2 linked regions of the Styela clava genome follow. The main gene of each other region encodes a partner of the protein of the gene in region 2 in a complex. Links are inferred from orthologs where the notes say so. Each region holds a gene or a part of one and is shown on either strand. Other genes may lie near its edges.

Region 1 (8,872 bases), on a different chromosome or scaffold from region 2:
TCCGATTTTACTCATTTTAGTTCTAATATGAGTTCGGGAACTGTCTGTGTTAACCAAGTGAATATATTGACAATGTACCTTGATCCATTTCCTCGGCTCATTAATGACTCAAGAATAACTTCCCATTCAGATGAGTTTGCGTTATGAGGTAACGATGGTAATATGTCAGATTGTCCATTTGACTTAAATGGAAAGAAATTGATAGACAAAGAACTGTTCATTGAAAAACTTTTTGGATATTTCAATGTTGTTCCCTGAAATAAATAACAGAATGTATGAAATATTTTAAAATTTTTTTAATTAATCTGAGGGAAAGTCCAATACAGTAATAATTATGAATTTTCAGAATAAAATTGACATTTTGACATCAGACAGTTAAACTGAAAACAGGCTAGCTTCTTACAAAATATATTGAAAATAGTAAATTATTCGGTAATCTTCAACTCTGAATCACAATTCAAAAACGTCATAAATGATGATTCAACAATCAACTTGCAAAACTGAGATAAACTGATTAAAGATGAACATACAAACATACTTTTAATGTTGCAGGCAATGACTCAGTGATGTTAACGTCCCACACCATGTCACTCAGCAAAATGGGTGTGAATTGCCAACTTGCATTAAAAACTGCTTCATCAGTAGAATCGTTGTATTCCAGCAACTAACATAAATAGAAAAATTAATAATTAGGAACATATATACATTATACACGTGCTTGAAACTATAGATTAGAATGGCATATTTCAATATCACTGAATAAATTCAGACAGCTGAAGCTTTTGAGTTTAGATTCCGAGATCACGACTCAGGTTCTATCCTTGATGTAGACCCCTGAAACACTGTTTAATTTGTAATGTAGACTTTTTATTGGGACTTGTTTTCAGTTGGATATATTTCATGATTGTAATTGTGCGGACTTCAAAAAAGAGAAATTTGTGGTACTCTCGTAGTATGTATGTGTACCAGGATTAGGCATATTTTATTCTGATATTCCTTATTTCAGTTCTATTACGAGTCGGGGACTGTTGGCCAAGTGAATATACCCCCTGCCCATAGGTTTCAGTCCATTTACACAACTTGATGTGAAGTAGACTAGGCAGACAAAATTAGTTATCTCCATATTGGTACACACACTTCTGGAGCACCAAATTTGTTTTGTATAATTTACATTACTGGTATAAGCAGCATTTGAATAATCATTCACCTATTGCAGAGATCGCACTACAGATGTGGAAACCTCATAACAAGCCGTCAGACTGTGGTATTAAACTTGGCTTAATTTTAGCTGAACATGACTTTTGATGGAACATGTCACATGACACTGAGCAGAGCAAGTAATTAATATTCAGTTAGACTTCTCCATCCTCCTGAATTTTGTTTTCAATAAAAAATATCTACCCTATCAAAAATGATGACATTTTCTACATCAACATCAACTTCTTCTGTGAGATTCTCGGATACAAGTTTGACAGATCCAAATGTATCTTCTAAATTTGGGAGCAGAAATTTTGTCCAGTTAACACTCAGTATTGCACTTTCGTCATTTGATCGTAGTAGGAGAATTGAGGGAGGCGATGGACCAACAGTTGATAAAATGTAATGTAGACTGTCATTCTCGCCCTGTTCGGAACAAAAAATGAGCATATTGGATAGGATAAGATTTACATATTTATCTTGGGGGTGAGGAAAGTCGATAAGACAGCCTAATCATATGGCGAACCATAACCCCTCGTCCGGTGACCAGTCAATGTTGGGTATGGGATTAGTTAGCCAGGTATATGTTTTCGGAAGAATGGACTTGATGGTGTGGGAAAGCTGTAACTGACCAGTGGTTACGTGGACCATCCTACGGCGAGCAATCCTCTCACACATAACAATCTCTGGATGGGTTTCAAACCTGCAAACCCTTGCAGGATAATCAGAGGTGTAGCCGCGAGTGTATTCCTAACGCTTAGCACGATGCGCCACACCGCCTGGCTGAAAAGGATTGGCTGAAAGTTATAATTGACAATGAATGTACAACATATAAAACATTTACTGACTAATTTATTATAAAATAAGTTTAGTTTAATGCCTACATTATCTTGTTAAGTCCAAAGTCAAGAATATTTCCTTTGACTAAAAATATGCTAGGCCTGCTAGTAACAAATCACCACTGCCACTAAAGCAAAGTACCATCGAGACAATTTTGATGCTTTTAATTCAGGAGAAATATTTATTGCAGAATATTTCGAAATACATTTACAGAAGTCAAAATTATACAAAAAATTGTATTGAGCAACCAACTCTATCAGAGATCACCAACTTATCATACCTGTGCTCTTGCATATATCAAATTGACCGTGGAATCTGTTGTTGTAGAATTGCACTCAATTATATTGCACCCAGGATTGTAAAACAGTTCAACCTGAACAAAATAAAGAAAACAGCATTTTTATAGTCCAATAAAATGATCCATAAATTAAAAAAATATTGACAAATATAAAAATACCAATAGCTGGGGAATAAATATTTTATAGTCAATCTCCAATTTTTTGCGTTTCTGAGAACATAGGTCACTTTCTTTGTAACTACTTAAACAAGTGGGTGCAGTGATTGAGGTATCGACTTCACCACCCCATCAAGGTTGTAATGAATTGGGTAAGCGATGCCAGATTTCTGTCCTTCCAAACTATAGCAGCTTGCTAGCTAGCTGTGGCTGCTTGTAAAGAGCTCGAAAACCATAGTATCAAGCAGAGCTTGAAACCAAAGTATCAAGCAGAGCTTGAAACCAAAGTATCAAGCTGAGCTTGAAACCAAAGTATCAAGCTGAGCTTGAAACCAAAGTATCAAGCAGAGCTTGAAACCAAAGCATCAAGCTCGAAAGTATTGCCAAAACCGAATACCCTACTACTCTAATTATATTCTGAAATACTATTTTCTAATATGGAATATACATATTTGAGGAGCAGTCTACATGCTCAACAGAGAACAAACAAAACCCAATGCCCCATATTCTTTATTAATAAGTAAGAATTTGAAACGCGAGAAAATTACCACAAATATACGTATATCAATGACCTGCAAATTGTTCGGAAAAAGAAAGAAGGCGATTCCCACCATACTCTGATCATCATTTAATTAAATTGGTACTTCTCATAACTACAGTTCTAAACTATTCAGCCATTTTGAAAAGCACTGAACATAATCAATTTAATTAATTAACTCATTCATGATCTACAAATAGCATGTTATAATACTTTTACAGAATATACATATTATATGCATTGCTGTAATATTTTTGAGAAATAGGTTACAAAACGAGATAGGAACAACATAAATGACACAAATAGTGAGGAAATTGTTTCTTGAATCATTGTTGCATACAGGAAAGTGGACAAAAATGGGTCGCAACACATTTAAAACTCCCAAAGAAGGTTAGGAACCAAAAAGTTGAAAAGTTTCTCACCTTTCTTTTAAAATCAGCCTTCTTTGCTAGAATTCCATCTTCAGATAAAATTGTCAATACAAATATTAAAATACTAAAAGCATTTGTGCTGTTAAACAGCACCATATTGAAATTGAAAACTGCAAAAAAAGATGAAATTTTTATTTCAAATCATTTTCAAAATATTACCATACCATAGGTTACCGGTTTCGAAAAACAAGATGCATACACAATCACTGAAGGCAACTATGAATTTCATTATCGAATCATGCTTTGTCGAACTTGACCAGTATTACAGTTTTTTCCAATAAACAAGGTTAACAAGCGAGTGCCCTAGGCTTTAGAATGATCCAAGCTTCAAATCTATTCAAAGCTATTTTTTTAAGTTTAGATGTCTGAATCTACTGCATTTTTCGAACATTTTTTTGACAAAAAATCATGAAATATCGTCACTTATAGAGAGAATTCTTTTTTTTAATTGAAAGACTAGTATTGCAAAACAGCAACACATTTAGATATGTCCTATCTGCTTACAAAAAGTTTATCATTGATAAATTGACATTTTTATTTGTGGTATATGAACTGAAGTTTCAAACACTATTACTAGTTCATTAGCAAATAGCTAAATTGAAATATACAGTAAATTGAAATCGAAATTTTGAAATTCATAGTTGCGGGAAAACAGCAAGCATTGATATAAAGTAAAAACTCATTTAATACCAGAGCATTACAGCACTATGCATGGCAAGTGAAAAATCAAGGATAAATTTCAAAAAAAAAATTGGTAGGATAACTTAACTTGCCAAGCATAATGTAATAATAACTCCACAGGTTTATAGCTTGAACATTGTATATAAAACGAGTCAATGGAGAAAGCTGTTCACCTTATTACATAATCCAGTTATGAAATCGTTATCAAAACAACATACTCCAGAAAAAGACTGAAAATTTGGTGTTACACTTTATCTAAGACCCGTAATCGGCAATATTGAAATAATCAACAGTTTCATCAAAGTGGGACAAAATACCTGGGAATGACTGACTTCATGTAAACATTAAGTTTTGCATTTAAGCTGATATAAATATACAGTTACTAGTCGAGTAACTAAGAAAATCTTACACGGAACATTAAAATCACATAACACCTCACATGTTTATAACGCTCGAGCATCGTGCCGGCGAAGACATCAATCAGTGTAACTTAGGTACAAATCGATTACACTTTTTGGAGAAGAAAACAAAGCCAAACAACACTCGAGTGCAAATTATTGTAGGAAAAAAATTTAATCGCTATCAACGACACCGTACAAAAATGGATAAAAAGCACACATAGGCCGCTCGAAGACAGAGAAAGTGAGAGAGAAATCGTTACTGTACTCCCGAGTAACACAGTGGGCCGGTAATATTAGTTATTGTCGGCAGATCAGTTGAAAATGAATAAGAATTAATGATAAAAATGCGAAAAGCGCACATTGTAAGACCTTGCGTAGTCAGAAAAATTCCTAACTCTAATTCAATAACAATAAGAAAATACCGTAAGTCAAATTATGAACCATTGGGCTAAGTAATTCTGACAATGCTCAAGCATCAAAGCATGTATGACAGTTATAATCAAATATTTATATCCTAAGAAAACTTTGGGAAAAAACACCTTTATTTCACTTACCAATTCATATGCAGACTTGGTATGGTTATACAATGAATTGTTTTAACAAAATTTATGTATTCCAAGTTCTTATACAGTTTTCGCTGAAACGTACTTTAAATAAGGCAAAAACAGAATTCATGTAATGATTTCAGGTCAATTGTATCGAATATTTGAACTAGGAAAAATGCAGAGAAAAATCAAAATCGAAAAACAGCATGTCATTTAGACAGAAACATTTCTAACTTTGCCGAAATTAGAAAACCAAAATCTATCACAATAAACAAGCCAATGAAATGAATTATCTGCATTAATTACAAAGTAATATTAGAGAACACGATACATGAACGGCGTCGATTTGTATATGAATTAAAGTCAAATGGACATCAAACATTTTATACAGATATCGAAGGACACTGAAAACAAATGAAACTGAAAGACAGGAAGGAAAGAAAATGCCAAGAGTCGCCCAGTCGGTATTCAAATCGCAAGAGTGTAGATAAGTAATCTACAAATCAAAATATTGGGTCTGACAACTGATTGCACTTTTGGCATTCCCTTGCCGGAACTCATAATAGTTATCACGGGGAAATTAGGTAGAAAAGATTGCTAGACGCTTGATACAATGTCTCGCTTGAAAGAGGTGCTGAATTTACAGTCTGAACAATAATAATAAATACACCAGAACAGATGGTATTAGCACAATTTCAACTGGTGGCAAAAAGGAAATAGTGATAAAGTCCAAGTATTTTAAACAGCTATCCTTTATAAGAAAACTGTGACTGAATTGTATACATTTTAGTAAATAGCTAGCAAATGATCACCGTCGACCAGGGAAATTATTAGGACGTTGACCTTCCCTTGACCCACCCCAGTCTCTTCGTGGTGGACCACGTTGTTGTAAACGACCACCGCGGTTATTATCTCGACCAGATTCCCACCGACCTGGACCGGGTCTTCGTCCACCATCGCGTGACATCGCTCTCTGCTTCTTTTCTTCGATGTTAATTCTCTTATTATTCTTGAATGTAGTCGGCATCAAACGTAGAACTTCCTCCACAGCTTTGTGATCTTCAAAGATTATGAAACCAAAGCTTGGATTGCTCGTATTCGAATGATTAATTCGAATTTCAACAATTTCACCATATTCAGAAAAGTGTTCACGCAGATCGGATTCCGTAATTTCCAGAGGAAGATTTCCAACAAAGATTTGCTGGTTATCGGGATAACGACTTTGACGTCGTCCGCCCGGATCTCCCATGCCTTCACCCGAACCATCTCGCTGTGAAGTCACCGGAGGTCTAGAACTACGAACTTGTTGCTTTTGCTGATCCATGGACGGGCCATCATTCGATTGGTTAACTTTAACAACGGTGCCTTGCTGAATGTTGTGCTGTGCTGGTGTATTTTTCGATGCCAGAGCAGCCCAAGAGTACGGTTGAACAGGTTCAGGTTCCTTATGTGGTACAGAATTCATGTTGTCTGTTGGTTCTGGTATATCTTTTTCTGCAGTTTCTTCCAATTGAGGTTCTTCATTCTCATTTGAGATGGGATAGACTGGAGATTCGTTACGAGGTTCAATGTCGACAGGTTCAGTATCTTGAGCGTGGTCAGATTCGGTTTCAGATTCAGGATGATTTGGGGGAGAAATTGCCAAAGCAGGAGAATCTTGATCATCAGAAGTGACAGGTTGAGAATCCAAACGAGGTTCCAGATCATTATTGATAATTTGAGCAGCCTGATTTTGAGAGCCAATATGGTTGTCAAATTGTGTTGGTTGGGGTGGTGGTTGTTGTACATTTACCTCCTCATCCAACTCTTGCTCTTCCTCAAGATGTTCCTGACGTCCTTCATCTTGATACACCTCATCTTCATAACGAAATATATCATTATGAACATAAAACTTGTATGGGTTATCCCCCTGGGGTGCCAAAACAAAGGTCTGCATAAACCTACGCAGAGGCTTGCGATTGTTGGAAAGCTCACCAATCACTTGTACCACAACCCCGTTGCTGATGGTAGCATGAGCGTCGACTTGGTATACTTTAGTATGGCATTCCTTGAATTGCAATGAAGTGATCTTCTTATGAATTGCCATCTGTCCAACAACCTCTTCTTCTGGCTCTCCATTGCAATACCGGCTTCCATGCACATAAGACGAATTCACTCCATAGAACCTGTGTAGTATTTCTGGTGCCTTGTTCAGAAGGGAATAATATTGGCGCACAAATTCCCTCCCTACCTGGAAAGGACTTGGATGATCCATTCTTACCATTTCTTGATGAAAGTTTCAGAGTTTGAAGCAAAATTAGTGTATGTGCACCAAATTTTTTTTGTTTTGTTCCTATTTTCAAATTAAAAAGAAAATAGATTAGGGTATGACTTCAGTCTTCAATATAAATTACAAACATTAAATGTTGTTGCCTAAATATGGATAAAGTGAAATCAGCAGGTAAAAATATCTAACACATTGATTTGATTGCATCTCAAGATTTTTCAAATTTTAAATGATCATTTAACTGGTGACCAGTAACTTTTGATTTCCACACATAGCTTTGTTTGCTAAGGTTCAGTTGAGAGTTATAAATAAAAATTTAATGAAATATAGGAATTATTGAATCAAGAAAACAAATGCAAAAACCTTCATCGAATTTAGTAAAATAGGAACACTGTACATAAGTAAGTGCACTTATTAACTACGTTTCGGTTCCTTATAATCGAGCTGAATATCTGATCAAATTTGTATTCTATTTGACAAATGATAACTAGTGCAAAATTTCATTTTGTGCAATGCAATGGCAGAGTTAAAGCCAAATTAAAAATAAAGGTATCGCAAAAAAGTTGTTAGAAGTGCATTTTATAAATTCGAGTTTTGGTTTAAATTCGCTTCATGAAAATTTAAAGGTAGGTCTCATATCGCTACACATTATGCAAATTGGCATTATGTAAATTGGAACATATTTGAAATCTAATTAATATTCAAGCGTTCATGAAAATATTAGTATTCTGAATTTACAGTTTTTTTCAATCCATGCATCTTCATTTGGAATAAAAATTATGTAAAGAGCGCTAACAGACTACAGGACTAAGTCAGTAAGTCTCAGGTTTGGGGGAAATAAAAATAGAGTTTGTATACAAAACCATCCGATCAATGCTCTATATAAAATGATTTTACTAAGTTCAGAAACATTTATGAAAAGCCATATTTTGAATGTCATTAGCTTACAAAATACAATCGGTACCATAGGGTGGTGTAGCCAGTCTGCGGACGATTTCATTCAAACCGCTATAAAACAAAAACCAATATTTCTAACCCGTTAATTTTTTCACCGTAGGTGCATTGGCATTTATTCTACACGCTGAACTTCGAATTAACTTTCTACGACCAGGGGTTAAGGCTATACAAACCACCAAAGTACGACACTCTGAAGACGTATTTGCGACCGAACGACCAGTGTGCGACCACGGATTTCAAGCCTTGAACATCGTTTCTGATGCGTCGAGACTAGGGCATACGCAGCCATGCGTGAAAAAATGGGCTTCTAATTGCATTTCTGACCGTCATATATTTTAAGAACACGGGTATTTCGAACAAAATTCTTCAAATTATAAACAAAGCACCGCATCACAGCAATCAAACAGACAAAAACACCGTGGTCGCAAATTAGTTGACAAAGATATTATTGACGTATTGGAAATGCGCACCCCCCTACTCCCCCTCCTTTGAAGGTAGAAACGCGAAACTTTAAAGATGGTTAAAAGAAACACAACTCTACCCACCTGCCAAGTTTCATCTC
Region 2 (7,338 bases):
AGGATTTTATATTTATTCCGGGAGAGAGGAAATTAGATAAGAGGGCTCTCGTTCGGTTAACAGTCTATGTCGGGTTACTCGGGTATGATATTAGTTGGCCAGTTATTTGTTTCAGATACATGTCTTTGATTTGAAGTTGAGCCATGCCTATACTTTGCAACGTAGATAAACTTTGACCCTCCCTTGTGTCCATCTATTTGTTTCAGATACATGGCCTTGTTTGAAGTTGAGATATACCCATACTTTGCAACGTATATAAAATTTGAACCTCTCTTATTGATGGAAAAACGGATACCGAGCTTTAATTTAGTTTAATCAAAGGTTACCCTTTTCCTTTACCCTTTATAGCCATGCGATCATCTCTGTTATAATCACTTGGTGTGACACAAGCTTTAGGAACTTTTTCTAAAATGGAAGAAATTTCTTCTTTTTCGTTATAGTTTTTCCACAAATCATAAAGTTGTAATATAATTTTTGTAATTTCAATAATTTTTTCCATATCAACATTTAAATCTGCAAACCATTGTCTTGCAACCTCTAACTGACTCTGTATAACACATGCAATATGCAGGCATGCGAGAGCAATTTGAAAAGGTGGATATAACAATATGACATCCGTACGATATGTGTCGTTTACAATACGCCAAGCAACTGGTAACAATAAATCAGCGTGTCCAATGTCTGAAACATATTGTAATAATGGACGATATGGGTGATACACAATTAAACAACAATCCATTAATTCCAGGAGAAAAAATTCACATTCCCAAACACTGGTTATTCTGTAGTTATAATCCATTTGAAACGCATGGCCAAATTTATTTTTGATGACACTTCCGACTGCAGCAATAAGCCGTGAATTTGATACCACGCCACTCTCTTCCACCTTCGCAGCAAGAAAAATGCAAGTTGGAGCTAAAAGAAGTGGGTCACAGCTTCGTAATGGATGTCTGCAATAAAACCTTTTGAAATAAACAGTTGCCGTAGCAATAACTTGCTGGCGTAGCTTTAATTGTTCGCCAATTGCTTGGATTACATTGGCATAAAAAATCATCACTTTGTTATATTCAACTTCCGTTAAAACTTTGAAATCAGCTGCTCGTTCTCGAGTGAGATCTTGCGGCGTAAGTATCCATTGATTGCAATGAGAACTCTGCCAGAAGTTTCCAGCCATATCAGATTTAAAATAGGAGCTAGATGGTAATCTATAAAAAAAATGATAAATTTTTACAAGACACAATGATAGAAGCACAGAAAAATGCTACATAACAAATGGCAAGATTGGTTTGTAAATTGATGCATGAAAAAGTACGGTATAACTAATAGTACAAAGTTTAGGAGATATTTTGTATAACTATGTAAGCATTACAGATGAATAATCATAAACAAAAATTTTGGAATTCGAGGTTGTTATTTCAGAGATGGAGATCTGTAGCAATGAGACATATGGGCACTGTTATATTAAAAAATGTTCTGCAAAATATAACAGGTGTCATGATATGATGCAGTAATCACATTGGAATATTACGATACACATAATTGCATTAAAATTCATCAAAAATGGAAGAAAATCAAAATATAATAAAAAATTCTATTCATCATGTCCGTGATGTGACACGTTAGTGTGAGCAACTAAGTGTTCAGGAATAATTGCACCGATTCTTGAATAATAACGATTTCTCAAACCAAATGCAGTCATTGGTTTAATTCTTGGTTGCATATCAACAGAAGCATTTGCAATTTCTTCTGCTGCTTCTTCGAGAGCACGTTTTGCATTTTGTTCTTTGGCAGAAGCATTCAGGCCACTTTCACGACCAAAATCAATGATGTACAAAAGCAAAGCAGATATTAAAGCAACACTGATACACATACAAAAAAATATCTCTAACATGAAATATCCTTTACTGTCGAGAATACTACCAGCGGCAAGCGATATGACAGCCAAACCCAAGTTTTGTATTGATTGCATAAAGCCATAGGCTGTGGCAAGTTGATGCTCAGGTACTAAAAATGCTACAAGTGGCCACAGTGCACATGCTAACACAGAATATGCAAATCCCATCAACGTCATGGCAAACCATGGATTGATAAAGGTAAATGCTAATAAACCATGACTTGCAAGAGTTAAAACAACAGCAAATAAAATCCAGAACAAATTACGACCAACCCGATCAATAATAAAGCCTAGGACCGGTGAACAAGGTGCGGACATGATATATACAATACTATTCACTGCGCTTGCGCTCGATGAAGAAAATCCAAACTTTTCTTGAAAAAACGTTTTTCCTAAACCTATAAAAGGAAATACTGCTACATAATAAGCCACACAGATGGCAAATACAAGCCATAACTGAATTGAAAAGTCTTTAACATCCGTTAGTTTAACAGCTTCTTCAGCTTCATTCTTTTTACGATTCAATATTTTTTCAGCACGTTTGTCTAAATACGCCAAACTAATTGCACATGTCAACGAGAACAAACAAGTCAGAGCAGCAATAAATAGAGAAACACCCAAGGTTTTATTGTGGTCCTTCATTTTTTCATTAACCATATCATAAATTGGTACCATAAGGTTCATATTCACGGTGCTTCCAATCCGAGCCATGCTGAGTTGTAAACCAAACACTAAGTTTAATTCCTTTCCTTTAAACCAGAGAACAGCATATGTATTTTGGGCGACAGCTAATGATTCTCCACCAATACCAAATATGAAACGTCCTAGGTCCATCAACCATATTTTGTGTACCAGTGCTCCAGTAGCAAAAATTAATTGCCCAATAACAACCAGCATGCTAAAAATGAGGCTGCCAAGGCGAACACCAAAAACCCTATCTAGGAGAAATCCTCCAAAAAAACAGAGGACAACATTTGGCCATGAATACCAAGCATAAAGCGACATAAAAGTGCTTTCACTTACATCCAAATCATTCACAATTTCATCATGTAATGCAGCAGGATTGTCGTAGCAGAAATAACTTCCAAAACTTAGAAAACACATCAAAGCAATAATGATAAGACGATGGCTCAAACTACGAGGATTTCCAACTTCACATGGTTTTACTTTAACTGGTGCAGCAGATGAACGTCTTCGAACAAGTGGATCAGTTTCCATAATGATAATACCGGTAGGTTAGGTCTTAAATTTCAGAAAGTTTTGTATTATTTAATCTAAAAAGTAAAAATACCTTAATATATTGATGTAGAGCTTTATACTGTTATAGCTTATGACTATCGCTTTGGAAATCTTTCAGCATTTGTATGCATATCCAGATATAGGATAGGATTTACATATTTCTCCTGGGGGAGAGGAAAGTTGATAAGATGACTTAACCATATGGCGAACCACTGCCTCTCGTCCGTTTACAATTTCATGTCGGTTGGGTATGGGATTAGTTATTTTTTTCCGGTAGCATGGACTTGATGGTGGGGGAAGCCGTAACAGACCAGCGGTTACGTGATCTACCCTACGACAGCGAGGAGTTCAGCGATTCACTCGCATGGGATTCGAACCTGCAAACCCACGCAGAGTAATCAGATGCGGTGGATCATAGAGCGTATTCCTAACGCTTGGCACGGCGAGCCACACCGGTGTATTTCAATAATAAAGTAGGGCCTAGTACATCTAAGATAGCAAAGAATGATGCTTTGCCAAAGATTGTTTGAATGCTATAAGCGACGAACCTATGACAGTGTGACCTAATACAGTGATGTCAATCCCAAAATTTGTGTTCTTCTGAGTTTACACGGAAATAGTAGGGCCTAGGTTAGTACTGTAGTATCTTTTTTTTTTGTGCCAAATAAATTCCAATGGCAAAGGGAATTTTCATATTGATATTTTGGAATCGAATCATTTTATTTTAAAAACACAGTCCTTTGTTTCCATGTTTTTTATTTTAAATTTAAAATGCTAAACACCGATACTCTGGGGCTGTATTTTGTGAAAAAAAATATTGCTGATGTTGTCGCAGTCAATAGCCCAAATCCAAATTAGTATCAATGTAACAGTTACAATGCAAAATGATTTAATGATCACTAATATCAATAATTTCAAAAATTATGCGGCTCTCACATATTTCTGACTCGCTGCATGCGGCTTTTATACTAAAAAATGTTGCCCACCCCTTCTCCATATAGACTACCGGTACCGGTACTAATTAATTCAGTTTTTAAAACCGTGTTCCCATAACAGCATAAGGCAGTAAGGTAAAAAATAATACAGCGAAATTTTGGATGAAATGCATTTGGTCCAGTAAGTAAAGAGAAAGGTGATTTTTTCATAACGATAGGAAGAAAAATTCTAATGCCAAGAAGAAGAGCAACAATAAGAACAACAACATAATAACAAAACGATCCATAGGTCCACTCCGTGTCTGATAACTACTGAACTACGACAATTCAGAATGACACTCTCGTTCTACTGCAAATCATTAATTTCCTGTTCATCGACTGTTACTAATTCTGTTAATTCGGATGAGTTCTGATTCCGAACCATTTCCTATATTTTCATTTTACACGCAAATCTGATGTAATCAGAGTGATAACAAGAGAAGGTAAATCCTTTTTTTTTTTTTTTTGTGCCAAATAAATTCCAATGCCAAACGGAATTTTCGTATTAATATTTTGGTATCAAATCATTTTATTATAAATATATAAATAGATATTTTTTTGTTTCCATGTTTTTGTTTATCATTTTTTAATTTAATCCCATTCCCCCCAATACATATGAATATGAACATGAATATGAACATATGAAGAGAAGGTAAATCCGTTGTCGTAGATTGCGCAAAAACAAACTGGTCGGCCCATAAATAAACGCTCTACTGCCGCAGATGACACTGGTACGGCCAGAACAATTTTCGCATCATCTTTTAGCGGTAGAAACATGTGTCTATTCTTCCAATAATCTTATATAAAAATGAGTGTCTCATGAGAAATACAAAGTGTGTTGTCTCATCCCATGGGACGTTTCCCATTCCATGGATAAGCCTGGTAAGCTAAAATGGACCACAATTAACCCTTTCATTCATGACTTTTTCGCTTACAACAAGGAAATTATTTTTGTATTGAAATGAAGTATTTACAATGCCAATAGCACAGAGGCGTAGCCAGCATATTTTGCGCCCGGGGCAAAATATAAAATTGGCGCCCCGACCCCCACGTTTAATCATGTTTCTATTGCATTTAATTTTATATGTAAAAACAAATTATATATCGTCACGCTAACAACCGAATTGCGTAAGTCATTTTTAGCTGTTTTGAGAAAAACGTAAAAAAAACTTCCTAATGATATTGCTATGCCATTAATTTGCCATAGTTCAACTTTTTGATCGTAGCCGGATTTAAGTTAATTTGTATGACGCAGTCATGTGACGTCATAATGGCGCACTGTGACTTAGGCAAAAGTGTGTCTATGACTAGGGGACATACGCAATTTTGCAACTTGACTATATGTACCAGTCCTGAAAACCAAACAATCCAAAATCCCCAAAATAGCTAATCTGTTTCAATTACATTATTTTTTATGTTTAAAAATATTTATTTCATCAATATAACACGCTCTGCACATCACCGAAATAAGACTAAAGTTAAATATAAAGAATAAAACAGCAATGTACCCTTATATAAAAGTCAACCAAGGTGAATTGGACTCAGACAGTGAATATCACAAGTGCACGCCTTTCTATACAGTAGTATAAAATCAAAATTATTGGAGCTAAGCTAGAATCTGAGATGCAAAAATTCGAAAATCCTTCGCCGAGGTTATTTTGCCTTTGTGACGTCACAATAGTCCTACGTTAACAAAGATAATTCATTATGACGGAGCAATTGAACAAATTTGCATATTATACAAAATCTCTATTTTTATGGGTTTCGGAATTCTTAAAATAAAATCTGAGTTAACAGACAGGTGCGCAGCATTATATAAATACCTATTTTATGAAAAACTCAAAACCGCCAAAAATGACTTACGCAATTCGGTTATTACCGTGACGATATGTGAATTCAAATTTATATGTATTTATATATTTTATTATTTATTCAAAAATATATGTATATGTAAATTCAAATTTTAATGGAACATTTTATTTAAAGAAGAAGCAAAGCTATACAAAATAGAGCATATGTCCCACTCAGTTACTGTCAAAGATGATTTGCATAGTCTACAATAAATTCATTTTTTTCAATTTCACTGTCGTAAACTGGTTAACACGTCATCAAAATCTGTTTCTCTTTCAACACTTAGAAGTGCAAGATCACTGAGACGATCCTGTCCCGTTGATGCACGCGAATACGACAAAATAAGTTTCAATTTGCTGAAAGACCGTTCACAGCTTGCAATTGAAACTGGTATTGTTAACAAAAATTGTAGAGAAATTCGCAGATTGGGTAAAACGTCGTCTCCAGAAGACACAATAAAACCAACAAGAGCCAAAGGAGTTTCTGGTTGACCTACAGTTCTGTTACTGAGCAGCATTCTGCAATCTCCAATTTCGGTGAAAAGTTCGCGGCCATTGATGTCCGTATCGTAGAAATTTGCAAAATCTGTGCAATCTCGACGAATTGTCGAAAACAGCATTGGGGTCTTTTAGCACAGTATAATATATTTTATGTAACTCTGCCGCAAAGTACGGTATTTTGACAACAACGAAATACAAAACCACGTATTACTCAAAACATGTATTAACATCAGTCAACCAAATTTCGTTTCCATTTGTCTCCACCACAGGACTAATATCAACTTACATCGGAGTGCGCAGGCAAGAACCTAACGATCTTGCTTGTGACCGTTTTTTTACCCTTGTGAAATGTTTGCAAGCCCCATTTTGGCGCCCCTGTACCTTGGCGCCCGGGGGCATATGTACCCCACTGCCCCCCCTAAGCTACGCCTCTGCAATAGCATAAAGGATAGGATAGGATTTACATATTTATCCCGGGGGGGGAGGAAAGCCGATAAGACCATCCATATGGCGAACCACGGCCTCTCGTCCGGTTACCATTCCAAGTCGGGTATTGGAATAGTTTTACTGTATTGTTTGTTTTCGGAAGCATGGACTTGGTGGTGGAGGAAGCCGTAACCGACCAGCGGTTACGTGAACCACCCAACGACGGCGAGGAGTCTAGCAATCCTCTCGCACATAACCATCCCTGCATGGGATTCGAACCTGCGAACCCACGCAGAGTAATTAGAGGTGCGGTGGCGAGCGTATTCCTAACGCTTAGCCCGTTAAGCCACATCGCCGCGCCTGTATACTGAAACAAACCAACAGACAAATATCTATTAACAGACTTACCGATCTTAAGATCGATAAGTAACTAGAAATATTGCTCAATAGCATT

What was found.
Region 1: the proteins of lysosomal dipeptide transporter MFSD1-like (region 2) and glycosylated lysosomal membrane protein A-like are in contact, whole or in part, in a cryo-EM structure (PDB 8R8Q), measured with the Mus musculus proteins. The link is inferred for Styela clava from reciprocal best matches to the Homo sapiens genes MFSD1 and GLMP. Residues at the interface, in NP_080089.1 of Mus musculus: Val288, Glu292, Lys293, Arg295, Phe349, Phe351, Leu411, Asp412, Lys414, Gly415, Tyr416, Leu417, Leu418, Val421, Ile424, Ser428, Leu432, Val435, Leu439; in NP_064387.1 of Mus musculus: Glu250, Asn252, Ser253, Ile254, Asp255, Asp256, Glu257, Pro260, Ala261, Phe263, Gln264, Arg292, Phe364, Leu367, Val368, Ile371, Met372, Ala375, Ala378, Leu381, Met382, Gly385, Phe389.

Annotation. Positions count from the first base shown.
Region 1 is NC_135252.1:4,643,506-4,652,377, forward strand, and holds the start of glycosylated lysosomal membrane protein A-like, read right to left. Parts: upstream 3,590-8,872; 5' UTR 3,557-3,589; coding exon 3,452-3,556; intron 2,411-3,451; coding exon 2,318-2,410; intron 1,624-2,317; coding exon 1,402-1,623; intron 665-1,401; coding exon 539-664; intron 255-538; coding exon 79-254; intron 1-78. Other genes in the region: ras GTPase-activating protein-binding protein 1-like, read right to left, coding at 5,896-7,350. UniProt on the Homo sapiens protein: Required to protect lysosomal transporter MFSD1 from lysosomal proteolysis and for MFSD1 lysosomal localization.
Region 2 is NC_135255.1:10,307,532-10,314,869, reverse strand, and holds lysosomal dipeptide transporter MFSD1-like, read right to left. Parts: upstream 3,189-7,338; 5' UTR 3,113-3,188; coding exon 1,592-3,112; 3' UTR 1,205-1,591; downstream 1-1,204. Other genes in the region: cyclin-C-like, read right to left, coding at 323-1,174. UniProt on the Homo sapiens protein: Lysosomal dipeptide uniporter that selectively exports lysine, arginine or histidine-containing dipeptides with a net positive charge from the lysosome lumen into the cytosol.